3 linked regions of the Saccharomyces cerevisiae S288C genome follow. The gene in region 1 interacts genetically with each later gene. Each region holds a gene or a part of one and is shown in the gene's direction. Other genes may lie near its edges. The genes, in order: BCS1, MFB1 and PGM2.

Region 1 (11,165 bases):
CTTTATAATCAAAATGGGGAAGCCAAGCACTCACTTTCTTGCTATCAAGTACTTGAAGTTTCTCGTTCTATTTCCCCGAGGACCACGCGCGGGATACTTACTATTGAGAAATCCTTCGATATGATTGGTTCTCTCCGTAATAAGATCAACCCTTTTAAAATATTTACATTTACAAGAAGATGTTAGAAATATATTAACGATCTATTTTATATGCCTTCTACACCGTTCCACAACTCTTCAAAAGTTAAAAACTTTGACCGAGTTTTGTGTTCCTTTTTGCCCCGAAGCAATTCCTTCTTGTTGATTCTTTCCCAATCCTTCCATGTGGTGTGCTTGATATTAGAGAGGTCGATAGAATTCTCTAAGGATAGCGCTCCGCTGACCACCAAGTCTTGTATTACTCTGTCTCCAACTTCAAAAGCATCTTGCATTGTCGAGGCAATAACGCCCTGGCTGCCCTTACGGATCCAACCAGATGCATATAAATGTGGGAATATTTCTCCGCTGGAAGTTAAAACACGACCCTGTTTATTAGCTATATGATCTTTGTCAAATCCAATAGACAACTTAGAGAATTCAGGCATGGGAACGCCTGCATATCCCAATGAAGTAATCAGCAAATCCACTTTATATGTCATAATATTATTGACGTCCTTCAAGGGTTGCAAACTGTTATCTTCATTTAATCGATTGTTACATAAACTCAAAGAGTTGATTGCACCAAAATCGTCTCTATTAATTTTCAAGGGAGTCTTCAAATAATCTAACTCCCAGAATTTGTCATATCCGCTGCTTGGAGGAGGAGCCTTTTTATAGTTTTTCTTCGAACGTTCATTAAATGGCTTGAGATACTCACTACACATCTCTACTCGTCTATTGAATGCACGATCGTACTTAGATGGGTCAAACATTTCTTTCTGGAAAAATTTAGGATCAATACGGCCACGTATGCCATACTTTTCTAACTCCCATAGTTCTCTTAATTCTTTGTTGGTGAATTTGGAATGAACGAAATCCCTTCGTGCAATTAGCTTAACGTCCTTTACAGGTGCCCTTCTTAGCAAATTTAGTGCAAGAGATGAGATGTCCGTATTTTCCCATATTTCATCAATTTGATTAGAAATAAGTACACGCGTAATATCAAGAGCAACGTTACCGTTTCCTATAATACCAACTTTCGAAACTTTGCTCCAGTCAAAATCGGTAAATCGCTTATCCTTTGCGAAATCAGGATGACCATTGTACCAATTGACAAATTCTCTACTGCTAAACACCCCTTTTGTTCCGAGTTCGCCAGGGATATTCAGCTTTCTGTCCCCTGTACAACCATAACTTAAAATAACAGCATCTTGATTATCCAGCAATTCCTTCAACAATATTTCTTTTCCAATGGTTATACCACCAACAAAGGAAAATTTATGCTTTTGGTTTGTAGGGGAAGAAAACTCTTCTGCACATGTGGTAAACGTTTCTTCACAATTTTTGACTTCTGGATGATCAGGTGCCACACCATATCTACTTAAACCAAAAGGAACAGGTAACTTTTCCCATATAGTAACATTTAATGGAATCGGTGACTTCTTGAGTAAATGGTACGCTGTATAAAAGCCGGAAGGCCCCGATCCAACAATGGATACAGTCTTACGGTTTATTTGTGAAGAAATGTGCCTTATTTGAACAAAGCTCATTTTCACAAGTAATGAGCTAAAAAAGGAAGAAGAAAGAGTGAGAAACTTTCTAAATGAATGAATGAGGCGTTGTGGCCAAGAACTATAGCAAGCAAAAAACTTTCTGTTACGTTCGAGCTATAGTTTACTGCTCTTCGAATTATATCTCGATTGAGTTACCCTTAAAGAGTGCCGAAAAATCGATGTAAATAGTATAAGTAAAGATTTCCACTCTTCTATATTTGCAACGCAGTAGACGTACCAAGGGACGATTTGAAAAAAAATGAAGTGTGCCCTCAATCTACCATGTCGGATAAGCCGATTGACATACAATATGATAAACAGGCTACTCCAAATCTGAGTGGTGTAATTACTCCGCCAACAAATGAAACTGGTAATGACTCAGTCCGGGAAAAACTTTCAAAACTAGTTGGCGATGCTATGTCAAACAATCCCTATTTTGCCGCCGGCGGTGGTCTTATGATCCTTGGTACAGGTTTAGCTGTAGCTAGATCCGGTATAATAAAAGCCAGCAGGGTCCTATACCGACAAATGATTGTCGACTTAGAGATTCAGTCGAAGGACAAATCATACGCCTGGTTTCTAACATGGATGGCCAAACATCCTCAAAGGGTATCTAGACACTTATCCGTTAGGACAAACTACATACAACATGACAATGGATCAGTTAGTACAAAATTTTCGCTGGTTCCGGGTCCGGGAAATCATTGGATTCGTTATAAGGGTGCTTTTATCCTGATTAAAAGAGAAAGGTCCGCAAAAATGATAGATATCGCAAACGGGTCACCATTTGAGACCGTAACCTTAACTACACTGTACCGTGACAAACATTTGTTCGATGACATTTTGAACGAGGCTAAAGACATAGCCCTGAAGACTACTGAGGGCAAGACTGTTATTTACACTTCTTTCGGCCCTGAATGGAGAAAGTTTGGTCAACCAAAAGCTAAAAGGATGCTGCCCTCCGTCATTTTGGACAGTGGCATCAAAGAGGGTATTCTCGATGACGTTTATGATTTTATGAAGAACGGCAAATGGTACTCTGACAGGGGTATCCCATATCGCAGGGGATATTTACTCTATGGCCCTCCCGGATCTGGTAAGACTAGCTTTATCCAGGCTTTAGCGGGCGAATTAGACTACAACATTTGTATTTTAAACCTCTCCGAAAATAATTTAACAGATGACAGATTAAACCACTTAATGAATAACATGCCAGAAAGGAGCATACTATTACTGGAAGATATTGACGCGGCGTTCAACAAAAGAAGTCAAACTGGTGAACAAGGTTTTCATTCTAGCGTAACATTTAGCGGTTTACTGAATGCCCTGGATGGCGTCACATCTTCTGAAGAAACTATTACATTCATGACTACCAATCATCCTGAAAAGCTAGACGCGGCTATAATGAGACCAGGTCGTATTGACTACAAAGTCTTCGTTGGTAACGCAACTCCATACCAGGTAGAAAAAATGTTTATGAAATTTTACCCAGGTGAGACTGATATATGCAAAAAGTTTGTAAATAGTGTTAAAGAATTGGATATCACCGTAAGTACCGCCCAGTTGCAAGGACTTTTCGTTATGAATAAAGATGCACCACACGATGCGTTGAAAATGGTCTCCAGCTTACGGAACGCTAATCATATTTTCTAGGTGCTAAGTGGCGCCTTACTACATAACTTGTATATAATAAAAATTCAGAAGATGCTTTAACTTTTTCTCGTTAATAAGACCGAGTTATTTGCTATTACGAACAAAAGAGTATATGATAAAGAGGCTTAAAAATACCCCTTCATTGACTATCCAGAAAAGCCTGCGTTGCAGCTTCAATATGATAAGGATATACTTCCCTCAAACCTTCTGCAGTTGCCCTTGTTCTAGCATCCAGCAGAATTTTTCTTAAAATGGCCTGAAATCCACATGCCAATAATAATTTCTTGTTATATTCTTGACTAGACTCTTGATCTTCATTTTGCCGTTGGAGAAGATCTTCTAGCTTATTCTCCTCCGCATCTAAACTAAGCTGCCGTAGCAAATAATTGGCCAATGCTTCCGTATCCATGGAAGAATGTTAGGAACTGTTGCTATTGTTGTACTTTGGTTATACGACAGTAAGTAACGTTGACTTGGTGACCGAAAATAGACACGAAATCGCTACCCGTTTCCCCAGAATATCACTCCTCACGATGTACCTCGGCGGCTAATCTTTTTGGTAGCCTTTTGTGATATATATATAAATAAATAAGTATACATACATATATATATATATATATTTATACAGCTACATTGTTTTCCTCCAAAATTTTCTGTTGGTTATGAATCGCAAAAGAAGTTTTCAGATTGTGTCCTCTGTTACTATTTCGTTAAGAAAGGAAGATATCGTCTACGGCTGGTGTGACGTAAGTATTGCGTTGTGCTCTAAAAATGAATCAAATCTGGTCTACAGGTCCCCCAAATTTTTACTTCAACTCTGAATGGAAAGAAAATAAGAGAAATGACAGGACAATTGAAGACTCTTTAAGAGAACTAGATGGGTTGATCCATTCCTTGGAGAGAACTCATATTGAAGTACAAACAAACCCAAAGCTAAAGAACGATGTCACAGCTTTAAATGATATTAACAAGAAAGAAAATAAAGAAGAGATCACTCATGAAAACTATACACACCAGATTAATAGTATTCCATTGACAAGCTCAAATTTAAATCGGCATTTCTCCTTTTCTAGAGACTACAACCAATCTGATAATAGCAATAATAATTATTACAGGGAATATTTATCCAAACCAAGGTATTTGCAGCAGTCAACTAAAGAACAAACTTTCAATGAAATTAATAAAAGAAAAAGTGCTGCAATTATTCCCCCTTGGTTAAATATTCCAGAAAACTCAAGATTTTTTGTAATAAAGTCCTCGTCTTTGAAGCATGTCAAAAGGTCGTTTTACAACGGAATTTGGTCGTCTACTCATTTCGGCAACAAAAGGCTATCTGAGGCATATAAAAAGCTTAATTCGGGAGCCAAAGTGTTTTTATTTTTTTCAATCAACACATCAGGAAGATTCTGTGGCGTTGCAGAAATGGTATCGGATTTGAAAATGGATTTGGACACCAGTATATGGGAAGATGAACAAAAATATGGCAAAGCCTTTAAAGTAAGATGGGTGATCGTGCGTGATATAAATAACAGATCGTTAAAAAGGTTTTTGATACCATCCAATGAAATGAAACCGATAACACATTCCAGAGATACTCAAGAAATTCCATATTCGATTGGAATTTCAATAATTAATCTATTTAAAACTCAAGATTCTGATATTTTCTCCTTCTTGGATGAGACGTATGAATAGACCTTATCCCTCATTTATCAACATTTTATTCTCATTTATTATTAGTATTATTATTATTTTTAATATTATTTTTATTTAAAATTATCCTAAAATTACTTCTACTGTTATAACATCCAATCCATAAGAAGCAAAAACAAAGTTTTCATATTAAGCCATCGTAAAGGTTTAAGGCACCAATAATAGAGGGATCGACTTTAGAACCTTCTCTGAATTCGTCCAGCGTAATGTAACCATCTTCGTTCTTATCCATCAACTTGAAGATCTTCTTTACCCTCATTTCGGGCGTTGCCTCATCCTCATTAAGTGTAACCATAGACCCCATCATTTTATAAACACTCGCCACAATGGTTAGCATTTCATCAAATGTAATATATCCATCATGGTTCAAATCATAAAGTTCGAAAGCCCAGCTCAGTTTTTCCTCCAAAGTTCCTCTGGACGTTGTACTCAAAACTGTGATAAACTCTTCAAAATGTATGAATCCATTGTTGTCTTTATCAAAAACTGTAAAAAGGTGATTAGCAAAATCTTCAGGAGAACCAAATGGAAAAAACTGTTTGTATATCTTAACAAAATCTTCCCTAGCTAGTTGGCCACTAGGGCAATCCCTCAAAAATCCTTTATGCCATTGCTGGATTTCTCTTCTATCAAAATAGGTGGATTGTTTCAAACATGTCAGGTCATCTTTGGAAAGCTTTGACGTCTTGGCTCCCATTTTTTTTTTGAATCAAAAACAGTTTTCAAGCACAAAATAACTCTCGCCGATTCTTAAACTAGCAACAATTATAAAACAGGAGGTAATATCCCTAGTTCATCAGTTCAATCGTTGACAAATTAAACATTATTTCAGTACTCTATGGTATAATAATAAAAAATACACCGAAGAGTTACCCTTTTTTCGTTTTTAATGATCAATTCTGGCTCATTTTTTTACTTCCTGAGCAGTCAACTACTACTGAAAAAAAGAGGCTAATGGGTACGCATTTACCTAAAAACAATTAGATCCCTGCCTTGGATCGTAATCTTGTTTATCTATCCTTTTTGGACATTGACATCTATTTGTGTCGCAGTTAATTGCTTTCTGGGTACGTTGACTTTTTCAGTTCTATATCGGCCCGTTGCTTACTCTGTTCAACTCACTTATTCTTTTGTTTCGGTTTGGGCTGCTGCATTTATAGATTAAAAATAAATTTCAAATTTCCACGCTAACAAATAGAGCTAAATTAGCAGTTTCATTGTTGGCTATATTTTCATTACAACTTTTGATCTGATAACGTAAAAGAATTCAAACAAAAACTATCTAAAAAAATACAAAGCAAAAATCATGTCTACTTTACAACGTCGTAGAGTCAATAGGGCGGATTCTGGAGATACTTCCTCCATTCATTCTTCTGCTAACAATACCAAAGGAGACAAAATCGCAAATATTGCTGTTGACGGGGATGATGACAATGGAACAAACAAAAAGATTGCATATGACCCAGAAGAATCGAAATTGAGAGACAACATCAATATCCCTACGTTAACGTTGATGGAAGAAGTCTTATTGATGGGCTTAAGAGATAGAGAAGGATATTTGTCGTTTTGGAATGATAGTATTTCATATGCTTTGCGTGGTTGTATAATTATAGAATTAGCGTTAAGAGGTAAAATCAGAATCTTAGATGATTCCGCCAGGAAAAGGTTCGATCTTTCCGAAAGGTTGATTGAAGTTATTGACAGTTCCAAAACTGGGGAAGTTTTACTGGATGAAACTTTGCAATTGATGAAAAACGACGAACCTTTGTCAATTTCTAACTGGATTGATCTTTTAAGTGGTGAAACATGGAACCTTTTAAAGATCAACTATCAATTGAAACAAGTAAGGGAAAGATTGGCAAAAGGTTTGGTCGATAAAGGTGTATTGAGAACAGAAATGAAAAATTTCTTTTTGTTTGACATGGCGACACACCCCATTGCAGACGCCAGCTGCAAAGAAGCCATTAAGCGCAGAGTACTTTCTGTACTCGTATCGAGGAACATGGAATTAAGTTACAATGAATATTTTCCGGAGACAACATCTTTCAAAATCATTAGAACTTTAGCTTTAATATGTGGATCATATGGGGCAAACGTATTGGAGAATGTCCTGACTACGTTGGAATATGAGAAGAGAGATAAGGCAATTAGTAGAGCTGAAGAAATAATGGCACAATTTTCGCAATACCCATTTGATTTAGAAAAGGAAACTGAGTTAGGTGTCTCCGTTAATTTAAACAAGGAAGTTAAAGAAGAGATAGAAAACAATCCTGGTCATGATTTACAATTGGAAGTTATTGCTGGTGTATTTGAAGTCTTTTCAAGAATGGATATGCTATTATGAAAATAACAACAAAAATCCTCTCTTTGAAACATAAGGAAAAGTCAAGCTTTTTTTTATAAGCCTCTAACATTAATAAACGAAATTTGTATATATGTATATACATATACGGAGTGGATAATAAATAGACCAAACTTTTTGTTATTATATACGCCCACATTCGTATTCATTGCTTTCTTGAATCCAAATGCTTTAAATATGGAGATAAAAATCCGCCATCGCCATATTTATTCAAGTAATATTTTTTAACTCTCACATCTTGAAATATTGATGGTTTTGATGACACATTAAAGTGCAAGCCTTCATTAAATGCGTTTATCAACGACCTTGACTCATTTGCATAAGCTTCACCACATGACTCCCACCAAAAGCCTCCGCCTAAATTGTTATGTGTCACATATTCAGCCTTAGTTTTGACTGATTTAGTGTTATCATAACTGATAAATATTGAATTTTTTTCATCAAAGCAATATGCTGAAACATATTTTGGATCGTATTGTTCTATTGTACCAATCTTTGGTAAATTTTTGTAAGGCCAGATGCCCTCCTTGCCATCAGCTTTATCTATTTCTTTAGTGGGCTTGCCCACTCCTTTGAAAATTTTGTTAATTAATACAGTATTTTGATTGAATGGTTCGAATTTGTTATCTTTGATATGGAAACTTCTTCCGTAGGCGGCCATTCCCAGTACTAATTTTCTAGAATTGACGCCAAATCTATCGATCATATAATGCATGGCAAAGTTTCCATTCAATTCCGTCTCACTGAATAGATTGCTGTGATATCCTGTTGTTTCTGACCACGAGCCATAATAATCGTACGTCATCATATTCCAGTAGTCAACATATTGATCAATTTCTGTGATTGGCAAGTAAAATAATTTATCCTTGAATGCAGGTGCCGCAATAGATAATTGAAAATGATCTTCAGTACGTTTCCCAAATATTTGGGATTCGAGGCTGTTTAGTTTTAATCGCAGCATTCTGACCAGTTTCAGATATCCGCGAGGTTCTGATTCATTGTTACCAGGGAACTCCCAGTCTAGATCAATGCCATCAAATCCTAATCTGAACATTGTTTCCACCGACGAATCAACAAAATTTTGTAAGAGTTTATCATCTTTAATTATGATTTTGAAATTTTCACTATCAGACCAGCCCCCAATTGACATGATAACTTTAAATTTCTTATCAGAACAGGTATTCTTCAAATAAAATAGTTCACCAATGCAACCTAAGGGTAGGATGTTTTGGACACTATTGTTCGAGCTTTCTTTAATTAGTTCTGAATTTTTAATTGCCAGCGATTTATACAAATTCATTTCTAGATCAGACCAACTATCCGTGTTTTCTATACCACCAGTTCTAGAGTTTATTTTGAAAAATGCATAGTAAATGTGAGACACTTGCTTCAAGTTTATGTCGTGAGGGAAATGAAACCTCGGTTTGTATGGGGACCAATTGGAATAATAGACCCCTGATATAAAGGCTTCGTCTCTTATATGGGTTCCATGATTTTGGACATTACTGGGAACTCGATGTCCGCCATTGTTAAAGTTGTCTCTAATATCATCCGACCTTTGGTTCTTAAAAATTTTATTATATAAACACATTTCAATAATAATCGTTATAAAGATAAGTAGTATTAGTAGGTGAGACACTAAGCTGCTTTTTGATCTGTGCTGAGCTGAGTGTCCTACCATATGATCACTCTTGTATCGTCTACTTATAGAGGTTGTTAGTACCAACCTGCAAATACAATTGTTGGACCATACTACCACAAAAGGTTCTTTTCGTTGGTGTATCCTCACAAATAATGATTATTCCACCAAAATCACCAAATTATTGTGTCAAACTAACTGGGATTACCCCACTATTGATTTTTCCAGTTTTTCCGCAATTTTCGCAGCATGTTTTACTTTTATAATGGCATTGTTGCATTACAGCGCCAGTTGTAGGTATCGATGATTTTATGTCAAAGTTTTCTTTCTAGCCAAACTCAGTTATGTCAACTGAACAAGATGCTGTTCTTGGATTGGCCAAAGATTTAGAAGGTATAAATTTGCTTACTGTGCCCAATCTCGAGAGAGGACACCAAAGTAAATTATGCAAAGAGAAAACTACTTCTGATTCATCTTCGTCAAGGAAGCCTTCACAACAGAGAGACAATTATAGAAAGAGACGTCCGAAACTTATATGTATCCCATATACGTCTTTTCTGCATACTGGTATGCACAATTTTTTGACGAAACCACCAAGAGATATATTTCATGAAAGTAAAGAAGTAGCTCTGTTTACCAATGGCCGGGCTTATACAATCCTACGCAAAGACCTTATACCAAATTTGAAAGAAAGTATTGCTGAATTGTATGAAAGCTCGCTTCTTGAGGCAAAAAAGCGGAAAGTCCCGTATTTAGGCCATGACTTATTTGCTAATATTGATGAGTTCGTTCCCATGACAATATCCGAATTAGATAGTGTATCACCGTGTTTTTCATACATTGAGAACTGGATACTAGATAATCCTGGTAAGGATTTTAAGATCGGCAAGAAATTTACTGTTGTAACCACAAGACATCATATCGTAGATTTGACTATGCATCTCTTTAACAGGCGAAATAGACAAACGTCACTAATTGTAACTTATATGGGGGCGGGCCTTCTTTCATTTTGCAGAAATGTAAAAAAAGATTCTCAAATGTCCAAAGAGGGCATTTATTCAAATGATCCAAATATGAAGAAAATTTGCTATTCAGGATTTGAATTTGAAAATTGGGTAACCGAAAATTCCAAAGTCGCTGATTTAACTGGCTCTAAATGTCCTATTTTTTCTCTTGTAGAGAGTAAACTTTCAGAAGAAATTGGTCTTTTAATTCGCTGCGAAATGGATGCATTCAATCCTGTTTCGGAGACAAACACAGAACTAAAGTGTTTTGCCCCATTATCAATGCACAATTCCAATCATAGGAGAAAACTTCTGAAAACGTGGGTACAGACGGGTTTATTACCGAACTCAGATATCATGATAGGTTTGAGGGACAGTCATAGCGGTCAATTACTAGACATTCAATGGTACTCAAGGGACTTATTATGTAAGAAATTCAATCACCCAGGTCTACCTACAAATAAAAAGGAACTTAACTATAATGCCCAAATTGCGGTAGAATGGTGTCATTATTGTATTGAAGCAATTTGTAAGCTGGTGGAGGCAAATATCTCTGACTATAGCAGTACAAAACCAGAATCATTTGAAATCGGTATAGATACTAACAACGCCATCGTCATCACTAAACTTAAGACTACTCCAAGAAACGTAGAATTATTTGGAATGTAGAGACGTGTATAATATATAATACTTTTCCGAGAAATATTTCATTTTCATTTTCGTAAAGTTGTTAACTACGCTAAATATTAGTACTTTTCTTAAATTTATATGGGGAGCCCTTTTTTTCTATGAAAAGCAATGCGTAAACCAAATAAGCAGAATTTTGTAATAGATGAGCAACAATACTGAGAAGGTGATAACTATAAATTTATGTGGGTAGTACGATACCAGAATACATTGGAAGATGGCTCTATTAGCTTTATATCATGTTGTCTTCAGGCCTTCAAAACTTATAGTATAGGTAGATCAAGTAAAAACCCACTGATAATTAAAAATGATAAAAGTATTTCCAGACAGCATATCACATTCAAATGGGAAATCAATAATAGTTCGGATCTGAAACACAGTAGCCTGTGTTTAGTTAACAAGGGTAAATTGACATCATT
Region 2 (11,165 bases), 320 kb from region 1:
TTCCTTTGGTTGTGAAAATTTCGTCACACTATCAAAGTGAACAAAGCACAGAATGTGTTTGCTACTCAATCATGTTCAAGTAAGCAACAGTGCCCAATGAACCTAAACAGAGCAACAGAGAAAACAGGAAGACACAACAAAAAATTTATATCATGCATGACATATGTTACCGTTAATTATATACCCAATAAATTATATATAGAAAAATAAAAAGGAAAAACAGAAAGGTCTAATAGACACTTAATATAGTTACAATGGAGAAGCAGTTTAGTTCCTTCCGCCTTCTTTAAAATACCAGAACCGATCTTATAATTCTTGAGAAGCCTTGGTAGCCTTGGCAGACTTCTTTGGCAACAAGTTTTGATGGATGTTTGGCAAAACACCACCTTGGGCAATGGTAACGTTACCCAATAGCTTGTTCAATTCGTCATCATTTCTGATAGCCAATTGCAAATGTCTTGGAATAATTCTGGTCTTCTTGTTATCCCTAGCAGCATTACCAGCTAATTCTAAAATTTCAGCGGCCAAATATTCCAAGACAGCAGTCAAGTAGACTGGAGCACCAGAACCAATTCTTTGGGCGTAGTTACCTCTTCTTAGCAATCTGTGCACTCTACCGACTGGGAATGTCAAACCAGCCTTAGCAGATCTAGATTGAGAAGCTTTAGCAGCTGAACCAGCTTTACCACCTTTACCACCGGACATTTTATATTTTATATGTATGAAATTTGTTTGTTTTGAAGTTGTTTATTCACTGAGAAATAACCAAATCCGTATGATGATGTAGTATCAAGAAGAGAAGTACAGATTGGAAGTAAATAGATGATGGTTCAACAAGACCAGAAAATCTACAAGCTGATTAGGAGTCTTATTTATATATTTTTTAGGTCAAGACTTATTGCTAGTATTTACGATCCACTGGCTGGCTTCGTGAACGGGGAAGGGGGTGAGAAAAGATTTTGAAATCAACAAAGTGGGCAATAACAAATAACAGCATGAGAAACCACATATCTCTACGGGCGTTTCTTCAACAACGACGAGTTAACTATTGTGCTCTTTTTTTGAGCCACCAAATACACTCCATTCCAATAGCTTCGCACAGTGAGGCGAAAATTTTGGAACAGCGCTAATGAATTATTTGTGAGCTCGGCGAGTTCAAATTTGAAGAAAACGCGGTTGGGTCGTTAACTATGGTTAGACGCTCAATGTCGCCCGAAAGGGAAGGCTGTTCTCACTTTTTCGCGCGTTGCACCCTTTCTTCCGCGAAAAAATGAGAACGATGGATTTAAAATCAAGAGAATTGGCCTTAGTAGTGGCAAATACTACCTTGGTTGGTTATCTTGTAACGATTGGTAAGAAAGGGGCATCTCTGTTTTCTTGATGTATATAAACAACATGATTTGATCATCTCAGATGGTCAGATTTATTAAAGACGTTTCTCTTTCCGCATTTTCGATTATTGTTATATTAAATTTATCCTATATAGACAAGTCAAACCACAAATAAACCATACACACATACAATGTCTGCTAAAGCCGAAAAGAAACCAGCCTCCAAAGCCCCAGCTGAAAAGAAACCAGCCGCTAAAAAGACTTCCACTTCCACTGATGGTAAGAAGAGAAGCAAGGCTAGAAAGGAAACATACTCTTCTTACATTTACAAAGTTTTGAAGCAAACTCACCCTGACACTGGTATTTCCCAAAAGTCCATGTCTATCTTGAACTCTTTCGTTAACGATATCTTTGAAAGAATCGCTACTGAAGCTTCTAAATTGGCTGCGTATAACAAGAAGTCTACTATCTCTGCTAGAGAAATTCAAACCGCTGTTAGATTGATCTTACCAGGTGAATTGGCTAAGCATGCTGTCTCTGAAGGTACTAGAGCTGTTACCAAGTACTCTTCCTCTACTCAAGCATAATGAAATCACTTCCTTTGGTTATAATTAATATTATTATTTATATGGGTATATAAAAATTAAAGTAAAGTAAAAAAAATTGTATAATAGTTTAATAATTTTAATGATTATAAGATATTTACTCGGTTGTAAAATTGTGTTCTCGAAATTACAAATGGTCTCATAGAGGGAATGCGCTTATGCGGCAAGGCAGTTTACTTGTAAGACTAATTATAAGAAGAATAAATAGTGTTGCTTATTAATGACTCAGAAAAGTTTCCACATGATATTTATTAGCTTTCGAAACTTCAGAGCATTGGCTCGTGTGAACAATACTAGATTTTTCCTCAAATTTTAATTCGTATTGCAGTTGCTAACTATTACAATTTTTGTTTATTTTATGCCTTGGAGATTGAACCCTCTGTTGTGATTAACTTCCTGTAAAAACTCCACGCAAGAAACAAAATATAAAAATAAAAAAAAAATTGGTAAAAAAATGAACAATAGAATACGCACGTATAAAAAAATACTAAAAATAAAATAAATGCCACCGACTCTATAAGTACACAGCAATAGTAATTAAAAAAAGACAGATGTCGCTGACTGGATCGTCAGCTGCACTTCAGTATTCCTTGATCCTCTCTCAAGTGGATCCATCCATTTCGGCCCCTAAATTTTTCTCCATCTCATCATACGATATTCCAAGTTGATCTTCGCTGACTAAGTAGGTTTTCCTACTATTCTATGACAATTCAAGTAGTAAAGTGCTTCTATTTTTTCGCAAACGATCATATTTTCCTTTAAAAGACGATAATGATTCTTCTGGAATATCAAATAATCACTCGCCTATGAGCTCAATATGGCCATTGGATGCCTTCTCTACTTCGAGTCCGCCTATGTTTAGAAGGTCGGCTATCATAGCATCATTATCAAATGTTGCATCTCCTTTTTGATTTTCCCGTGAACTTACTGAGCTTGAGCATGAGCTCAAACTTTCAGGAGTATTTATGTCATCACTCAATGGGTACAGCGATTTTGTGCACAACCCATCGATAACACTAAACGGTTTATCACTTAAAGACCAAACGTATAACTTTGGTACTTTTATTCCAATTCTTTTAGAATCCAATATTTCGCAAGCTTTATGGCCAATTTTCTTCCTTTTTCGATCTGGGGTTGGTAAGCTCTCGTCTTCATCTGTTGATTCATCATCTCTATAAGTGACCTCATCAATGTTGTAATCACTATCATAACTATCATTCCTTGGGCCTTCCGAAGAACATGTGAGGTTGGATAAGTCTTCTCTTGAACTATTATAGAGGCAATCAATATCCTTTTTCCTTGTATTAATAGCGACGTTGTCTAGACTAAAGGTGCGATCAGGTCCATCGAGCTCTACTTCGTCGATTTTATGCACATGCTCGTTGAGATGAAAAAAGCTAGACACATCTAATGTAGAAAAATGATTGCATTCACTGAAATGACCATCATCCAAGTTAAGGGGCGTACGGTCCTCAAAACAACTGCTACTATATTTTTTTTCGAGTGGTCTTGGATTTTTCACTCCCTTATCCGTACCATCCATTGGTGTCAATATCACGGCCTCATCAAAGTCGACATCTGATTCCGTTTCTGGATATTGGTGTGTAATACCTCTATTATTATTTATCGATACTGTTTCGCAACTATCGATGTGGTTGTCTACTAAAATATCAACACCAATGTCCTCTTCATCTTCATTAGTTGTTGAAGCCGAAGGACTGTGGTATTGTCGGTGAGATTCACTTTTACTTGTTGGCAAACCGAGCAGTACTACAGCCGAATTCGCCCCGAAGTTTACATCGCGCTTATTACTGACATATGTAGTATTGCCAGCTGACGTGAGCTGGTCATTAAATATATTATCTGCTTCTGTCTTAGAGCTGCTGCCAAGAGACGTCTTTTCCTCTACCTCGTTGGTGTTTTCCTCCCTAGAATATTTATAAGAATTTTTTTTTTTCTGTCTATTACTACTTTCTGGTTTTAATCGTTTAGCACTAATATAGCTACTCTCAAAATCCGAGGCCTTACTTATAGAGGGGTCCCAAAGAGCATCAAAGCTGCCATCATTATTGGATGAAAGGACGACAGTTGAAGAGGACGACGAAAAGGAAGCAGCTGTACCTGTCTCTTTTGGCTTTTTTTTATTTGGACTGTGTGGCTTGCGCCGCACGGTACTGTTAACAGGCGCACTAAGCAACATTTTAAAAGACTTTTTTATTCCGTACTATACCGCTGCTGTTCAGTTAAATGGTAACCTTCTTATAACTTTCTAGTGACCGCAATAATTATATTCCTTCTTTTAAGAAATTTCTCGATACAATTATAGAGGGCTTTTGACTCATTAATCTTACTGGAACCATTGACAGATTAGTCCGAAGAAGAAAACTCTAAAAAATCCGCTAGTAAGATTCAACAAAAAAAAAGTCTGCTTGCTATGAAAGTCTGATTTCTAGAGTACACACCTCTATAGCTACACTCTCAACTGATTGCTTCACTTTTTGAAAGAGGAAGAAGGACAAGAACTGGATTCACAAACTCAACTACATCTCGGTTTATCCGTTTAGACCAAGGTTTTATATAAGGCGAGGTAGAGTTCGGAAAAGGAAACTTTCATCGACTTCCCTTAATGATTATTGATTCCCCTTTGCTTTCTCTCCCCAACATTTGAAATATGATTTCTTTTTATTTCGAAAATGCCATTCTTCTCGTTCCCGTGATGTTTTCAATATGCATGCGGCAAGGGGAACATGATATTTCCGTTCTATGGCTTACGCAAGTAAGAAGCATGGCGCAATGATGCAATAGTCCATGGGGGAAAGTGTGGCCTCAAAATGAAAAAAAAAAGTGATGATAAATTAGTTATTAGGTAGTGATTATGTAAAAAAATTCGATTACACATTAATTATTAGGTAAAGTTGGTAGAAGAAACAGGAGAGAAAAAGAAGAGAAAAAAAAGGACAAAAAACGAATTTCATGTGGAAGTGTTCACGCTTTTGTTCAACTAATGAAGGTGCTCTCAACGATAGAAATACCTTTCTCGTGCTTATATTTAGAAGGTTGACAGTATTGATAAATGAAAGGTTTGATGCTCACAATTTTCTGAGCTAACGACCTGACCATGCTTGGTAACTCACCGAGAACGTCGTATCGATTAACCAGCCTCAAGTCGTGTTCTGAAAATCCACCGGGGAACTTGATAGAGGTTGGATATACCCAGCCGCTTTCCTTATCTGTACTCGTAGCACGGAACCTAACATGACGTTTTGGGCTCTGCACAGAAGAACCAATAGATATCAGTTTGTTTTTTTCAGTAATTGACCAAACTGTTACGGTGACGTTATCATGATCTCGAGGAGTAGTGAATTCAATTGCTAAAACAGAGTAGTTTTCGCTCTGAAAACATAGGAAATTCCATTTACTGGCTGCTTTATTCGGCAAAAGACCTTGAACAGCGTCCAGATAAACGACAGGAACATCAGTTAATGAAATATTTTTATTTTGAAAGTCCCCACTATTGAGTTTTTTATCGTAGGAAATATTACCATTACATTTACCTCTGGGCACAAAAACATGTCTGATCATTTTGTCTGAGGAAACGAATTCGTCACTCATCGAGATTTGTTTGTCAAAATAATAATTGCAACCGTTGGGGTTCATCTTAAAACCTTGAAACAAATCCACCAACAAATCGATTTTCAAATTTTGAATTGTATTGTTACATGTTGGTAAATCACATTTGATAGATAACTGGCCAATGGAACCTAATTTTTCATTTTTGTTGCTCAAAAATTCAAAAATAACATTTCTAGAGACAAACTTTAATGGTTGAAATTCAGCTATGTCATCCAATTTAAAACTTTCCCAAACGTCGTAGTCAGTATTATTACTTTCTGAGCCAAAAACCTTGAAATTCAATTGGAAGCCTTTATAGATACCACCCATAACCGTAGAATACAGTAATTGAACAAATCCACACAAGCCTGTATGCAAATCTGTGAAATATAACGTTTGGGTCTCGACTCTGGTCTCCATCGATTTTTTCATCACTCTGAATAAACCTCTACCACCATCTGTCTTGTTACTTATGGTGTGTTGGTAGCCCGTTTCACTATCATTGTGACAATACCACTCCAATGGTTGGATGTCATTAATAAGAGTATAGTTCTTACTCTTACTTACCGGTTTTTTGTAATCTACCTCTTTAATAGGCGCAAACTTTATCTTATCACTGCTCGATTCAAGCATCACTAAATGAGTCTCTATGTATGTACGATGTATCTTATACGCCCTCACTGTCAAGAAAAGACAATACGAAGTACGGCGGCAATTGTCACTCAAGAAATTTCTTCATTTTTATATGACTATACATCGTAAACTCAAGCCCAGAGAAGTGAGTCTCCAGTAAACACTGTTCGTTATATCCATCACATTTAAAATCCGTAGGCTTAAGATTGCCAAAACATATGCATACAAATTCCAGTAGTAAACATGATTTTGGAATTCACTGTAATAATCTGTGAGACATCTTGGAAACCGGAAGAACAAAGATGAGAAAAAAAAAAAAAAAAAAATAAAAGCCGCATAAACATCGGCTAGACGGAAAAATTAGCATTACGTCTATGACTTAGTTCTCCGAAAAAAATACAAGCCGTGTGGGGTGATTACGCCGTACCCTTCTTTTCGCGTTATTCCAACAGGTCGTACAGAACTATCAGTATTTGGAACGATATACTTATTTATCGTCTTTTCGCGTTTTGGCCGAGGGAAATATTGCTTTTGTTGCGGAAAAGAGTATCACGGCACAGCATCGGCCTTCCTAGTTGTTTACTTACTAAAAAAGCCTAACTACTCATTTTCCAGTCATTCACTTAAATTGAACTTAGGGGGCTCGTATTCGAAAGTCTTGTTGCAGCCTAGAGGACCAACGACATCGAAGATGTAGTTGCACTTAGTCGCTTCATGTACACTCCGAATCTTGAATTTGTCGCTGCACCGAACAAATACAGTAGCCGATCTGCGCGGACCATTCCAGCACTGGTCTCCATTTTCGTATTCTAGTACCAGACCATTATTCAGTTCGTTTAAGTTCCCGAATACGTAATGTTGCATGTTACCGTCATCGTCCTGTATAGCTGCTAAGTTTGAAATCAAATCACTCTTCTCATCATATGTGGCCTTTAAATGTTCTGCGTATTTTTCCATGTTTAAGTCAACATTAAAACCTGATGTCTTAAAACGACCGATCAAAACTTTTTTACCGTCAACCTTATCCTCAGCTTGATATATGACACCTTCGGTCATTGGACGTTGAAAGCATATAGTGTACACATAGTTGTCCAGTATGTCGTCAAGACAATAGGATTGTGATCCCATTAGTTCTAAAAGCTCAGTCAGATTTCCTGCAGTAGAATTAGTTCCTTCATCTTCAGTTTCATCTAATAATTTCTTATAGTCCATTTTTTGCTTTAATTCATTCTCCAGGAGACTGACTTGACTTTCACAAGAGCGGAATCTCTTCTCTAATGAGACCAAATCTTTTCTAGATGAAAAAATATTCAGCTTAGATAGAATCTCTTTGAGTTTATTGCGCAAATCTCCAGAAGTACCGATATGATCGCTGTTCGTATCTTGTTCTGACTCAACAGCGTCTGGTGGCAATACCTTTGGTGCATTCTCGTTCACAAATGATGTTACTTCGCTCAACGATCTCAAAAGGCTCTCTGACGGGTGAGCTGGTTCTAATTCAGCCAGTTCGCCGTATTCACCTAGGTAGTTTTTATACGAATCGACAGCACTTTTGACCCCTGCATCTTGAAAGTTAACATTGTAATTCTGAGAAATATCATCCATAATCAAACGGAATTCTCTGATATACTCCAAGATATCGTTGGTATAGTTAATTTTACCCTCCACTAGCGCTTGAACAAAATTGGATTTTCCTATGACGTACCTCAACGTGTTCTCAGATTCTCTTTTCAAAAAAATTTGAGGTACTTCTTCTGTAAAGTACAAGTAAAGATTATCTGCCTGCTCATCATCAATTTTGCTATCTGCATTAATTTTAGCCTTTTCAGCCCGTCTTCTAACTTTTCTGAATTTTTTAATATTATCATTGACAACTTTATCATTTAGCGAGGGAGTATAGGCCTCTGATAAATCACTTAAAATCTTGAATATGTCCTGGTAACCTTTACTTACTCTTGAAACCATAGTGAACGATGTAAGGATGTCCGATCCCAAACGAGTACTGTTTAATTGTTCAAATTGATACAAAATGGGATCATGGCTTAATTGGTTAAAGTACTCGCCTCTCAACTGCTCTAATTTGGCTCGATTTTCTGAGAGCCTGTTGGAGAGTACTTTTATCTCGGCAGAAGCTTTTTCCTTATCTTCTTCTAAGCAATTACCACGGGTGATAGCCTCTTCCTTTGTACCGTATTTTCTTTCCAGTTCTTCTAGGGCCTCTTTACCTTCCCGGTAACTTGATAACTCTTTAGAGGCCATAATGTCAAATTCGTTTTTTAACTGAGAACAATTAGATCCAGCATCAAAGAGCTCATATCCAGAAAGTAGCTCGTCAGAACAGTCACAGCAGTCACAAATACCATCTGCGACTTCCGATTTTCGTATATATCTTGGAATAAACCCCTTGTTATCACAATAAAAATACTTATTCACTTTACCACCTCCCTCTGCAACGCTTTTGAATATATCTTCCACGCAGGCGGCGCTGCCGGGCTCATCTGAACCATCAGGACAATCACAAACCCCATCATTAATCTGGCTTATATCCAATACGATATCTTCGTGGTTCAAACAGTGCCATTTAGTCAAATCTGGTTCATTCGAGTCATACAAGTGCTGCTTTTCCCAGGGAACACCCACTATATGCCGTTGACTTTGTTGCAATGACGCTACAAGCGGCGATTGCTCAATTAATAGCAGAAATAATGAGAACATGCTCACCATAGCGAATCTTCTTAATGAAATAGCAGAAGTGCCTTTATGCTTCTTAAATGCAGTGCGGAAGCCTCTGCTTCTACCATAACATCTTCCAACACAGTCTTCATACACTATTATTATTCATTTTATGGCCGGGTAAGTATTTTAAAAGGCATTGGCAATACCCGTTTTGTTTTGACCCAAACAACTGTTTATCATTATTCCTGGTGCTGTCTTCTTAGAAACTATAAACGCTTGTGCACCTACCCAGTATTTAACCAGTTGGGAGGAGATAACAATATTTACTTACTTTTTCACAAAATAGGAAAAGGAAAGTTATACTTTGCTATAGTTTAAACAAAGGGAAAGTTTTCAAATAACCAAGGAGTCTCTGTTACTACTTGCTAAATATCCTCATACAAAATATCAAAACAAATTGGCCAAACTGCACAAGGAAAGTTCACTTTTGTTCCAGAATTAGTTATAGTTCCTTCAACCACATAGATGACATTATTTTCTTGTAGTGTACAGATGCCGCTGGAGGAAAGGTCCCTGACAAACTTACCATTAAACCTATTGTTCCGAATATTGTCTCACCTGGATATGAATGATTTACAAAACATAGGGAAAACTTGCACCTTGCTAAGGATGCTGGCGAATGAGAACATTGTTTACAGAAATGCTGTTATCGGCTCAAACGGGAATATGTGGTGGACAAAAAATGTTCTTGTTGATGTCTTTGATGTTTTGAATTTTAATAGAAAGGCAATGAAAACCTTAAATAGTCACAACATATCCCTGGTCGCATCATTAAGAAATGTTCAGCGGAAATATAAACTAGGCGTTATTGATCCGGCTAGAAAGACAATAAGTTATAGAACAAATGAAGTTGAGAGCAAAGAAAAGGGCTCTGTGAAAGATTTAAATATGGATTTGAACGAACCTACAGAAATAACAAGGGAGCAAATCGCTCATACTGCAATACTACAAGGAATGAATCAATTCATCGAACTCAATGATAAAGCATTTAGGACCCATTCAGCGGATTCTGATGATACATACATAGAGGAGAATAATGGAGAAATACATTCTCTCCACGGATTGGAAAAAAATACAACATTTGAAGAAGACTTAGTCAAAAAGCCACCTTTTATCCCTTCTCCGACATTTTCTAATTATTCTAGAAGTTCAACAAATTCTGTATTTTCAAGTTCATCGCCCAAACTACTGGACGATGATTGGAATAATATTACAATGGATTTCACTAAGTCACGAGATCCTGATTATAAAGAGATGACGCCTACATCTACTGAATCGTCTGACTCAATCACAAGATTGAGAAAATCTAATAAAGTCAAGGATAAAGCCGAACTTTTTGAGAAGTTAATTTTTAGAGATAGCAGACCATTAAAAACAAAGAAAAAGGACAATCCAAGATTGAAATTATCCAGTTCGTTAAGTGCTAATGACGAAGATTTTAGGAAAATCATAAGTCCCCCTTCTGACATACTACCGAAAGTTGGCAGAAGGAGCGTCTCAAGAGGTTATTTAGAGGAGATTGAAAGGCATTATCCCGATTTTAACGGTGAAACAACTAATCCTCTAGCAATTAAAAGAGTCAACAGTACAAAGATAGCAAATTATGAACAATTAATTATAAAAGAAAATAGCTCGAACTGTAAAGGAATAACAGAGAAAAATGATGAAAATAAATTTCAAAGAAGTCACACTTCCCCAGTAATAGAATTATCCAAACCTCATCAAAGAAGCAAATTAAAGGCGGTTGTTACAGACGGTAATAAGATATGCTATCGCAAAATCGAATTGGATAACCCTAGTGGGTCGAATACGAATGATCATGTAATCAAACGGCTTGACGCTAATACCGATTTTAATATATAACAGAAAACGCCTCAAACCGACTTTGCTTGGAAGAGTTTTCTCTGAATTAGCAACGGAACTTCGAAATGGTTTTAGACAAGCATGCATGGTATGTAGAAACAGTTAAAGAGCGCCGCTACCATTTGCACAGATGTACATATAAATAAATGACTTATTTTTTATATTCTATCAATAATAAGACAATTTGTGGTTGCCTTTAGAAATTTCGTGGCTTTTTTTCATATATTCTAACTTCAATAAAGTTTTTTTGATGCGAAATTTGATCGCTCATATTAAGGACGCCTGAAAAAGACATGCGTCTACATTTTGTGTCATTCCCATAAGAATAGTAAGAACAGGCATTTTTATAAATCGATACAAAAAAAGAGCTACTATACGTACATAA
Region 3 (11,165 bases), on another chromosome or scaffold:
ATAATTCTCATTCAAAATATATACACTTAAGACATCTGGCCTTTTCTAGTTAATCTATATATTTAGTTCTTATAATAGATGAATGTACCGTCAACCAAAGATTAGCAGTTGGAGGGCGTTAAAAACAATTTACCATTGCCAGGATTCGACAACACTATTGTAACGTATTTCTGTTTCTGGTCTTGGAGTAATGTTTGTAGTCTATTAGCGGAAGTACCTTTTTACAGTGTCGACACAATTTGACTATTTTTTCAACTAGATTACCGCATGTCCGTCAGGGCATTTGTTGTCATGCAAAAAAATGAATAAAAAAAAAGGGCATCATCAAGAGAAGAAAACCTAATTAACGAGAGTGCAGGACATATGCACAAATAATATATCTCACACCATAATAATGTCAAGTGAGTCAACAACTTTCATCGTGGATGTTTCACCATCAATGATGAAAAATAATAATGTTTCCAAATCTATGGCATATCTAGAGTACACTCTATTAAACAAATCTAAAAAAAGTAGAAAAACAGATTGGATAAGCTGTTATCTCGCTAATTGTCCCGTATCTGAGAATTCCCAGGAAATACCAAATGTGTTCCAAATACAATCCTTTTTGGCTCCTGTTACCACGACGGCCACCATTGGGTTTATAAAACGCCTGAAACAATATTGTGATCAGCACAGTCATGATAGTTCGAATGAAGGCTTACAATCAATGATTCAATGTCTGTTGGTCGTCTCATTAGATATTAAACAACAATTTCAAGCAAGAAAAATTCTAAAACAAATTGTTGTATTTACAGACAATTTAGATGATCTGGATATTACTGATGAAGAAATAGACCTGCTAACGGAAGAATTAAGCACAAGAATCATTTTGATTGATTGCGGTAAAGACACTCAAGAGGAGAGGAAAAAATCGAACTGGTTAAAGTTGGTCGAAGCGATACCGAATTCAAGAATCTACAATATGAATGAACTTCTTGTTGAAATCACTTCCCCAGCAACATCTGTCGTTAAGCCAGTAAGAGTATTCTCAGGCGAGCTTAGGTTAGGGGCAGATATATTATCAACACAAACATCGAATCCTAGCGGCAGCATGCAAGATGAAAATTGCTTATGTATCAAGGTAGAGGCTTTTCCTGCTACGAAAGCAGTTTCAGGCTTAAATAGGAAAACCGCTGTTGAGGTGGAAGACTCCCAGAAGAAAGAAAGGTATGTGGGGGTCAAATCCATAATCGAATATGAAATTCACAACGAAGGAAATAAGAAAAATGTCAGTGAAGATGACCAGTCTGGATCGTCATACATTCCCGTGACCATCTCCAAAGACTCTGTAACGAAGGCATACCGTTATGGTGCAGACTACGTAGTGCTACCGTCCGTTCTAGTCGATCAAACTGTATATGAATCTTTTCCAGGCTTGGATTTAAGAGGATTTTTGAATAGAGAAGCTCTTCCAAGGTACTTTTTGACGTCGGAATCCTCCTTCATTACCGCCGACACAAGACTTGGCTGTCAATCTGACTTAATGGCTTTCAGTGCTCTAGTGGATGTTATGCTAGAAAATAGAAAAATTGCTGTTGCAAGATATGTGAGCAAGAAAGACAGTGAAGTGAATATGTGTGCATTGTGTCCCGTTCTAATTGAGCACAGTAACATTAATTCCGAGAAGAAGTTTGTTAAGAGCCTTACCTTGTGTAGATTACCATTCGCGGAAGACGAGAGGGTAACTGATTTTCCAAAACTTCTGGATCGAACAACTACATCCGGGGTACCGCTGAAAAAGGAAACAGACGGGCATCAAATCGATGAGCTTATGGAACAATTTGTAGATTCAATGGATACAGATGAGCTACCAGAGATTCCGTTAGGCAACTACTATCAACCCATAGGCGAAGTAACAACAGACACCACTCTCCCACTTCCCTCTTTAAATAAAGACCAAGAGGAAAACAAAAAGGATCCTCTTAGAATACCCACGGTTTTTGTCTACAGGCAACAACAGGTGCTACTGGAATGGATTCACCAACTGATGATCAATGATTCCAGGGAATTTGAAATCCCAGAGCTTCCTGACTCATTGAAAAACAAAATAAGTCCTTACACGCACAAGAAATTTGATAGCACAAAATTGGTTGAAGTGCTCGGCATCAAGAAAGTAGACAAATTAAAACTCGACTCCGAACTAAAAACTGAGCTTGAGAGGGAAAAGATCCCGGACCTAGAAACGCTATTGAAGCGCGGTGAACAACACAGTAGGGGAAGTCCAAACAATAGCAATAATTAAAAAAGGTCTAACATCCTTTGAGTTATGTTTTCGTCACCACAGTTAAAGAGAAAAAAAAATAAATAGCGGGTAAATAATTGTCATACTACTGATTTGCATTGTTACCTTGTAACTTTGAACACTAGCCATGCAGGTTGCTTTTCCTCCTTTACACCTTCCCCCCTGTCGCTGTTCAAAAGTAAATGCAACAACAATAAAACGTGGGTAGAGGACGTTCCCTGTATGTACTAAAATCATACTATCATCCGTTGAGGTCGAGCGGTTCTCTAATCTCAACACACGCTGCTGCCCCTGAGCTTGCGAGCTAAGGACAACAGGGCCAACTTGTTCTTTCTAGGGGGGAGAGGCCCAACTTAGGCTCGGTGAAGAGAAGCGCGGAGCTCACGAAAAGGGGTGGTGTCGCGCACTACTTTTTTCGTGGGGAACTTACGTGAAAGGGGACGTTATACTTTTGTTATGTGCAGTTCCAGGAACAAACAGGGGTTGAAAAGTGTAAAAGAAATAGTTGATTCTTTCAGAATCTGGATGACTGCCGCCCGAACAATGTGGGAAATATAAAAAGGTACCGTTAATATTGTTTCATTTTCGAAGATAGTGTTCCATGTCTTTCTTCAGCGTTGCTTGAACAATAGGATAATAAGAAGAAGATCAACCAATCTTTCTCAGTAAAAAAAGTAACAAAAGTTAACATAACATGTCATTTCAAATTGAAACGGTTCCCACCAAACCATATGAAGACCAAAAGCCTGGTACCTCTGGTTTGCGTAAGAAGACAAAGGTGTTTAAAGACGAACCTAACTACACAGAAAATTTCATTCAATCGATCATGGAAGCTATTCCAGAGGGTTCTAAAGGTGCCACTCTTGTTGTCGGTGGTGATGGGCGTTACTACAATGATGTCATTCTTCATAAGATTGCCGCTATCGGTGCTGCCAACGGTATTAAAAAGTTAGTTATTGGCCAGCATGGTCTTCTGTCTACGCCAGCCGCTTCTCACATCATGAGAACCTACGAGGAAAAATGTACTGGTGGTATTATCTTAACCGCCTCACATAATCCAGGTGGTCCAGAAAATGACATGGGTATTAAGTATAACTTATCCAATGGGGGTCCTGCTCCTGAATCCGTCACAAATGCTATTTGGGAGATTTCCAAAAAGCTTACCAGCTATAAGATTATCAAAGACTTCCCAGAACTAGACTTGGGTACGATAGGCAAGAACAAGAAATACGGTCCATTACTCGTTGACATTATCGATATTACAAAAGATTATGTCAACTTCTTGAAGGAAATCTTCGATTTCGACTTAATCAAGAAATTCATCGATAATCAACGTTCTACTAAGAATTGGAAGTTACTGTTTGACAGTATGAACGGTGTAACTGGACCATACGGTAAGGCTATTTTCGTTGATGAATTTGGTTTACCGGCGGATGAGGTTTTACAAAACTGGCATCCTTCTCCGGATTTTGGTGGTATGCATCCAGATCCAAACTTAACTTATGCCAGTTCGTTAGTGAAAAGAGTAGATCGTGAAAAGATTGAGTTTGGTGCTGCATCCGATGGTGATGGTGATAGAAATATGATTTACGGTTACGGCCCATCTTTCGTTTCTCCAGGTGACTCCGTCGCAATTATTGCCGAATATGCAGCTGAAATCCCATATTTCGCCAAGCAAGGTATATATGGTCTGGCCCGTTCATTCCCTACCTCAGGAGCCATAGACCGTGTTGCCAAGGCCCATGGTCTAAACTGTTATGAGGTCCCAACTGGCTGGAAATTTTTCTGTGCTTTGTTCGACGCTAAAAAATTATCTATTTGTGGTGAAGAATCGTTTGGTACTGGTTCCAACCACGTAAGGGAAAAGGACGGTGTTTGGGCCATTATGGCGTGGTTGAACATCTTGGCCATTTACAACAAGCATCATCCGGAGAACGAAGCTTCTATTAAGACGATACAGAATGAATTCTGGGCAAAGTACGGCCGTACTTTCTTCACTCGTTATGATTTTGAAAAAGTTGAAACAGAAAAAGCTAACAAGATTGTCGATCAATTGAGAGCATATGTTACCAAATCGGGTGTTGTTAATTCCGCCTTCCCAGCCGATGAGTCTCTTAAGGTCACCGATTGTGGTGATTTTTCATACACAGATTTGGACGGTTCTGTTTCTGACCATCAAGGTTTATATGTCAAGCTTTCCAATGGTGCAAGATTCGTTCTAAGATTGTCAGGTACAGGTTCTTCAGGTGCTACCATTAGATTGTACATTGAAAAATACTGCGATGATAAATCACAATACCAAAAGACAGCTGAAGAATACTTGAAGCCAATTATTAACTCGGTCATCAAGTTCTTGAACTTTAAACAAGTTTTAGGAACTGAAGAACCAACGGTTCGTACTTAAAACGAATGATTTACTAATGGCTTAATGATTTTCACCTTTTTCAATGAATATTAACGGTAAAGAAGAAAATTTCAATTTTTTGAACACATACTTTATATACTTAATAGATCCATATTTCGACATATTAGCAAACGATTGCATAGGTTTCTGAGTCTTTTTTTTTTTTTTTTCATAAGGAGGAGAATATTTTGGTTAATCGCAGTATCTTCTTCATAAGTGCTGTTTCTAATTATATCTAATTCACGAATTTTTCCCAAATTAGCGTATCCCCGAATTCAGATTACCTACCCCGAGTTTTTTATTATATTTCCCTCGAGAAATCTGTAAAATGGCCGTCATCCTTAGATTTATAAATAAAATGATAAAATTCAGCCAAAGTGCTCCTAAACCAGAATTGTTCAACTGGGTCAAATTATCGCGTATACAAATATACATATAGTAACATGCATTCCTGGCGAATATCCAAGTTTAAGTTAGGAAGGTCCAAAGAAGATGATGGGAGTAGTGAAGATGAAAATGAAAAATCGTGGGGTAATGGCCTGTTTCATTTCCACCATGGAGAAAAACATCACGATGGTAGCCCGAAGAATCATAATCATGAACACGAACACCATATAAGAAAGATCAATACAAATGAGACTCTCCCAAGTTCCTTAAGTTCTCCAAAATTACGTAATGATGCATCCTTCAAGAATCCATCGGGGATAGGAAATGACAATTCTAAGGCTTCCGAAAGGAAAGCTAGTCAGTCGTCTACTGAGACGCAGGGACCGAGTTCGGAATCCGGACTAATGACAGTGAAGGTGTATTCTGGTAAAGATTTTACTCTTCCCTTCCCTATCACCTCTAACTCTACTATTTTACAAAAACTACTAAGTTCCGGCATCCTTACTTCATCATCCAATGACGCTTCCGAAGTTGCAGCCATAATGCGGCAGCTACCACGATACAAGAGAGTGGATCAAGATTCAGCAGGGGAAGGCTTGATAGATAGAGCTTTTGCCACTAAATTCATTCCTTCCTCTATATTGTTACCTGGGTCAACAAATTCAAGCCCATTACTTTATTTTACAATTGAATTTGATAATTCTATTACTACTATTAGTCCAGATATGGGAACGATGGAGCAACCAGTGTTTAACAAAATATCGACATTTGATGTAACAAGAAAATTACGATTTTTAAAAATCGATGTCTTTGCAAGGATTCCATCCCTACTTTTACCCTCTAAAAACTGGCAACAGGAGATTGGCGAGCAGGACGAAGTACTGAAGGAGATTTTAAAAAAAATCAATACAAATCAGGATATCCATTTGGACTCCTTCCATTTACCTTTGAATTTAAAAATCGATTCTGCAGCCCAAATAAGACTATACAATCACCATTGGATTTCTTTAGAAAGGGGATATGGTAAATTAAATATCACGGTGGACTACAAACCTTCTAAGAACAAGCCTCTCTCCATTGATGACTTTGATCTATTGAAGGTTATCGGGAAGGGTTCGTTCGGCAAAGTGATGCAAGTAAGGAAAAAAGATACCCAAAAGATTTACGCTTTGAAGGCTCTGAGAAAAGCATATATTGTATCGAAATGTGAAGTGACACATACTTTAGCGGAGAGGACTGTCCTAGCAAGAGTTGACTGCCCCTTTATTGTTCCGTTGAAGTTCTCATTCCAATCTCCGGAGAAGTTGTACCTAGTATTAGCTTTCATTAATGGCGGTGAACTGTTCTACCATTTACAACACGAGGGACGATTCAGTCTAGCACGCTCCCGTTTTTATATTGCAGAACTATTATGTGCTCTCGATTCATTACACAAACTTGACGTCATTTATCGTGACCTAAAGCCTGAAAACATTCTATTGGATTACCAAGGACATATTGCACTGTGTGATTTTGGGCTTTGCAAGCTGAACATGAAGGATAATGACAAAACAGACACTTTCTGTGGTACTCCCGAATATTTGGCACCAGAAATCTTGTTGGGGCAGGGCTATACTAAAACAGTTGACTGGTGGACATTAGGTATCTTACTGTATGAGATGATGACAGGGCTGCCACCATACTATGATGAGAACGTTCCTGTTATGTACAAGAAAATTCTGCAGCAACCGCTACTATTTCCTGATGGATTTGACCCTGCGGCAAAAGACCTATTAATTGGCCTCTTAAGCAGAGACCCAAGCAGAAGACTCGGCGTTAACGGTACAGATGAAATTCGTAACCATCCTTTCTTTAAAGACATCTCATGGAAAAAGCTACTTTTGAAGGGCTATATTCCGCCTTACAAGCCAATTGTAAAGAGTGAAATAGATACTGCAAATTTTGATCAAGAGTTCACTAAGGAAAAACCGATCGATAGTGTAGTGGACGAGTACTTAAGTGCAAGTATTCAAAAGCAGTTTGGTGGGTGGACGTACATTGGTGACGAACAGTTGGGTGATTCTCCTTCGCAGGGGAGAAGCATTAGTTAGAAGCAAGCCGAAGCAAGCCGAGCCGAGCCGGACGGAATTTATAGCTATAGCCGCAAGAGGTTGCAATTTTCAAAAATGGATAGTTCAAGTAGATTGCGATACGCACTCCGTTACTATTGTGGTTAACGGGGACAAGAAGAACTACAGAAAATAGAATGGTCCGCAGAGGCTGCGCTCTTCTTTTAGCAACTCTCACACGACTTATGTTGCTTATTCATTTCTTTTACAGCATTATCAGAATTCTTCCATCTACGGAATTGAGATCAAAGACCGACCTGTTGTCGGCCGAAGGACGGACGCTTATACCCGCGGATGTCAAAGCGAAGCCCGCGGGGCGCAAGTCGAGGTTACCGGAATTCGCCAAACGGCAAAGGACCCTTGCATTGCCTGAAAGGAAAGATTCGCTTTTCTGTTTGTTGCCACTTTTCTTACATAGTCTGGGCCGGGAGCAGCTTATTTCTTCCGCGGATGATCCTGGATTTCCTTGCGCGGGCTCAGCCATGGGGAGCCTTACCTAGTCCCGTAAAGGGAAAAAGCTAACCTCATTCGCCTCACAGGGTGAAAGCGTGAACAAAAAAAAAAGAAAAGCTTAATGATTAAAATTTACAGTATATATATATTTGTATTTACGTATTAAACTATATATAAATAGATATGTATGCCGAAAAAGTAAAGTCTGGGTGATGCCTAGTCCAATCTTTCTTACTACTGTCCAGTTTCTATCGTAGCAGTTAATTATACATAGAACTGTGTAAATTCAACGCATTAATTTTTTTTTTTTTCACTTTCGCAGTTAGGGGGGACACATTTTTTTTGCCCTTTCTTAAGCTTCGTAAGCGAGTTACATCATTATTTCTTCCTGGGATACAATACGCGTTCGTACAAGTCACAGCTGGACCGTATAGGGAACAAGACTGCAACTCTCTCCAACTTGTTAAACAGAGGAGGAAAAGAAAGAGGGAAAAGAGGAACAAAGACAATCAAAGAAAAAGAATAGAAAGCAGTTGCTGAGCTCTTGGCATATTGTATACGGTAGTGGCGTATAATATAGTACGAGAATTAGAAATATGACGAATATGGCGGAGGATAAAACAAGTATAAGCAAGGTACATTCTGAATTCAGCAATTCCTCGAATACCACTGGATCTGAAGAGGAGAGTCGGTCGCATCAAGAGAGCTTCGACGGCGAGTCCAGTTCCGGTGAAAGTAAAAGTAAAAGCAAACTAAATCTTGAATATTCTGCAGATATCGAGCCATTGAAGTTCAGAATGACAAAAACTAATAATACAAATGACAAATTAAAATATAGTAACAACGGCAACGCCACTGATTCATTTATGAGACTAAAGGAACATTTACAGAGAGGCAATACTTTAAATTCGAATCTTAGGGTCAATGAGTTTTACCCTTTCAATTCCATTGATACAGAGCAATTTGAAAACTATTTGAGAGAGCCAAAATACATTAAAATGTTGAAACGTCGGAAAAACCTGAAACAATTTAGAAGATTGTTTCTCGCGCAAGAACTAATGGCCTACGAAGGTGAAACGGTTACCTCCACTTCCAAATCATCTGAACCAACCTCTAAAGCTATATGGAGTACAAAGTTTAGCCGCGATGGAAAATTTATGGCCACTGGTAGCAAAGATGGTAAAATAAGAATATGGAAAGTTATTGGCTCTCCAGTTGAAAGAGCCGAATTGGACTCGAGTGCGGAATCAAATAAAGAGGCACGAGCCAAGTCGATGCGGATCAAACAGCAGGTCAGTTCATTGAACAATCCAAAAGAAAAACAATTTTTGGATTCTGCTACAGAGAAATACGAAGAGAAGGAAAAATTATTGAATTTGTATGCGCCTGTCTTTCACCCAACGCCTTTGCGACTGTATAAAGAACACGTGCAAGATGTTCTGGATATAAATTGGTCTAAAAATAATTTTATTTTGTCAGCATCGATGGATAAGACAGTAAAACTATGGCATCCCGATAGGAAAAATTCACTTAAGACATTCATACATCCTGATTTTGTCACTTGTGTGGAATTTCACCCCACCGACGATAGATTTTTCATTAGCGGCTGTCTGGATCACAAATGCAGGTTATGGTCTATACTGGATGATGAAGTTAGCTTTGAGTACGATTGTCAAGACTTAATAACATCTGTTACATTATCCCCTGAGGAGGGAAAATACACTATAATAGGAACATTTAATGGATACGTTCATATTCTGATGACCAGAGGTCTCACTCCAGTTTCTTCATTTCACGTAGCTGATAGACAAACACAAGAACAAAACGCTCACGTCATGGTCACGGAAACTGACTCAAAAATTCGTCATGGTCCACGTGTGACGGGTTTGCAAGCTTTTAGATCTCAACTGGACAATTCTTTCCGCTTAGTAGTTACATCGAATGATTCGAGGATAAGAATTTTTGACTTAGAACAGAGGAAGCTTCTAGAGGTATTGAAAGGCTTCCATAGCGGATCTTCCCAACACAAGGCACAATTGTCCATCTGGCATGGTCAGCCAATCGTTGTAAATAGTAGTGATGACCATTGGGTTTACGGCTGGAGGTTAAAGTCTTCGGATAGAGAGAATGATCAAGACGAACCTAAAAGGAAACCAAAGGGATTGGCTCGGTCCGGAAGTTTGAGAAGCATATTTAGTAAATCAATGAGTAGGTCTTCCAGCCAGAATAACGAAGAAAAACCACATCATCATTTAAAACTTACTAACTTACTTCCCTTGCCTCATCATAGCAACGATCATTATATCAAAAATACGGATTACATTTCTTTTCATGCACACAATGCCCCTGTTACTTGTGTTAGCATTGCACCGCCAGAAACTTCGAAAACATTATCTTTGTCTAACGATGTTATCTGCGAGCTATCTCTAGAGTTTTTTCAGACATCCGATAGTTTCGATGTTTTGAGTCGGAGTAACGACGATGGCATAATGTCAGATGTAGAGTCGTCTTTGGGCTACAATTCTAAACCAGGCTCAATTTCTAATGCTTCCGCCACCAGTGCTATCCCAGATGTCGTTGACGCAATTGGAACGATATTGATCAGTACTGATAACGTAGGGACTATTCGTGTGTTTAGAGCAGATATGCCCTCTGTTATAAGAAAGCGCGTGTTACTCAAACTAGAAGAATACAATAGAGAGGTTCGGAGAAGGTTTAACAGTTCTGATTCTTTGCATTCTTTGAGTCGAAGCTTCAACTCGAGAGCGAAATCAAACTTGGCTGGCCAACCGGCAGCGGCGTATACTAATACTGGAAAAGGCTATGCAACGGGACGTGGATACTCTAATATATGTCCCAAAAGCAGTACATCACTAAAAACACTCGGCAGTAATGCACAGCCAAGAACACCAAGGGAAAGCATGTCATCTATTTTCTCCAATGCACATGGGCCTACCACTCCAACGAGCGCAATGAATTTACCTATCCGTTGCAATGTTTGTAACGGTTCAAGGTTTGAGGCTTTTTCTGGTGCTAATGACCAACAAGATAGAAACTATTATTGCGTAGACTGCGGTACAGTAGTTAATAACTTCCGCTAACGCTGATGGAGTATTTTTTTTCCGTGGATGATACCTTTAAATGCATATTAATCTTCGTACATAAAGTAAAGAAACACGATACACTTAAATAAATTTTAATCTAATAATTAATGAACGCTAACAATGAGCCTATCATTTGTTGCCGATATACTATAACGTATCTCTTCGAAAGAACAAAACGGAGTGAGTGCCTGTTAAGGGTAACTACTCCAAACTGAGTGGACCTCGGCGGCTAAAGCTATACTTTTTCTGTTATTTAAGGGACCTAAAAATACACACAGAGTAGATTAAGATTTGGTGCACTTTTCTCAATTTATCAACTTATAAAGAACAGGCTGCCTTTCAAACATAGGACGTTTCTGTTGACCATAATGAAAATGCCCAGTATTATTCAGATTCAGTTTGTAGCCCTAAAAAGGCTTTTGGTA

What was found.
Region 2: mutations in BCS1 (region 1) and MFB1 together harm fitness more than expected from each alone (negative genetic interaction), as found in Saccharomyces cerevisiae (2 studies listed by BioGRID).
Region 3: mutations in BCS1 (region 1) and PGM2 together harm fitness more than expected from each alone (negative genetic interaction), as found in Saccharomyces cerevisiae (2 studies listed by BioGRID).

What each region holds. Positions count from the first base shown.
Region 1 is NC_001136.10:1,217,345-1,228,509, reverse strand, and holds BCS1 (bifunctional AAA family ATPase chaperone/translocase BCS1), read left to right. Parts: upstream 1-1,973; coding exon 1,974-3,344; downstream 3,345-11,165. Other genes in the region: ARH1 (NADPH-adrenodoxin reductase), read right to left, coding at 207-1,688; WIP1 (Wip1p), read right to left, coding at 3,484-3,753; PHO92 (mRNA-binding phosphate metabolism regulator), read left to right, coding at 4,116-5,036; FRQ1 (frequenin), read right to left, coding at 5,179-5,751; VPS74 (Vps74p), read left to right, coding at 6,361-7,398; CTS2 (putative chitinase), read right to left, coding at 7,562-9,097; DXO1 (Dxo1p), read left to right, coding at 9,400-10,728; XRS2 (Xrs2p), read left to right, coding at 10,930-11,165.
Region 2 is NC_001136.10:905,070-916,234, reverse strand, and holds MFB1 (Mfb1p), read left to right. Parts: upstream 1-9,382; coding exon 9,383-10,780; downstream 10,781-11,165. Other genes in the region: HTA1 (histone H2A), read right to left, coding at 307-705; HTB1 (histone H2B), read left to right, coding at 1,523-1,918; CRF1 (Crf1p), read right to left, coding at 2,733-4,136; YDR222W (uncharacterized protein), read right to left, coding at 4,934-6,181; GTB1 (Gtb1p), read right to left, coding at 6,797-8,905.
Region 3 is NC_001145.3:469,420-480,584, reverse strand, and holds PGM2 (phosphoglucomutase PGM2), read left to right. Parts: upstream 1-2,978; coding exon 2,979-4,688; downstream 4,689-11,165. Other genes in the region: ATP-dependent DNA helicase YKU80, read left to right, coding at 395-2,284; YMR105W-A (uncharacterized protein), read right to left, coding at 2,327-2,521; putative protein kinase YPK2, read left to right, coding at 5,132-7,165; YMR103C (uncharacterized protein), read left to right, coding at 7,321-7,683; LAF1 (Laf1p), read left to right, coding at 8,233-10,737; SRT1 (ditrans,polycis-polyprenyl diphosphate synthase), read left to right, coding at 11,109-11,165. UniProt on the Saccharomyces cerevisiae protein: Major phosphoglucomutase isozyme that catalyzes the reversible isomerization of alpha-D-glucose 1-phosphate to alpha-D-glucose 6-phosphate. The mechanism proceeds via the intermediate compound alpha-D-glucose 1,6-bisphosphate.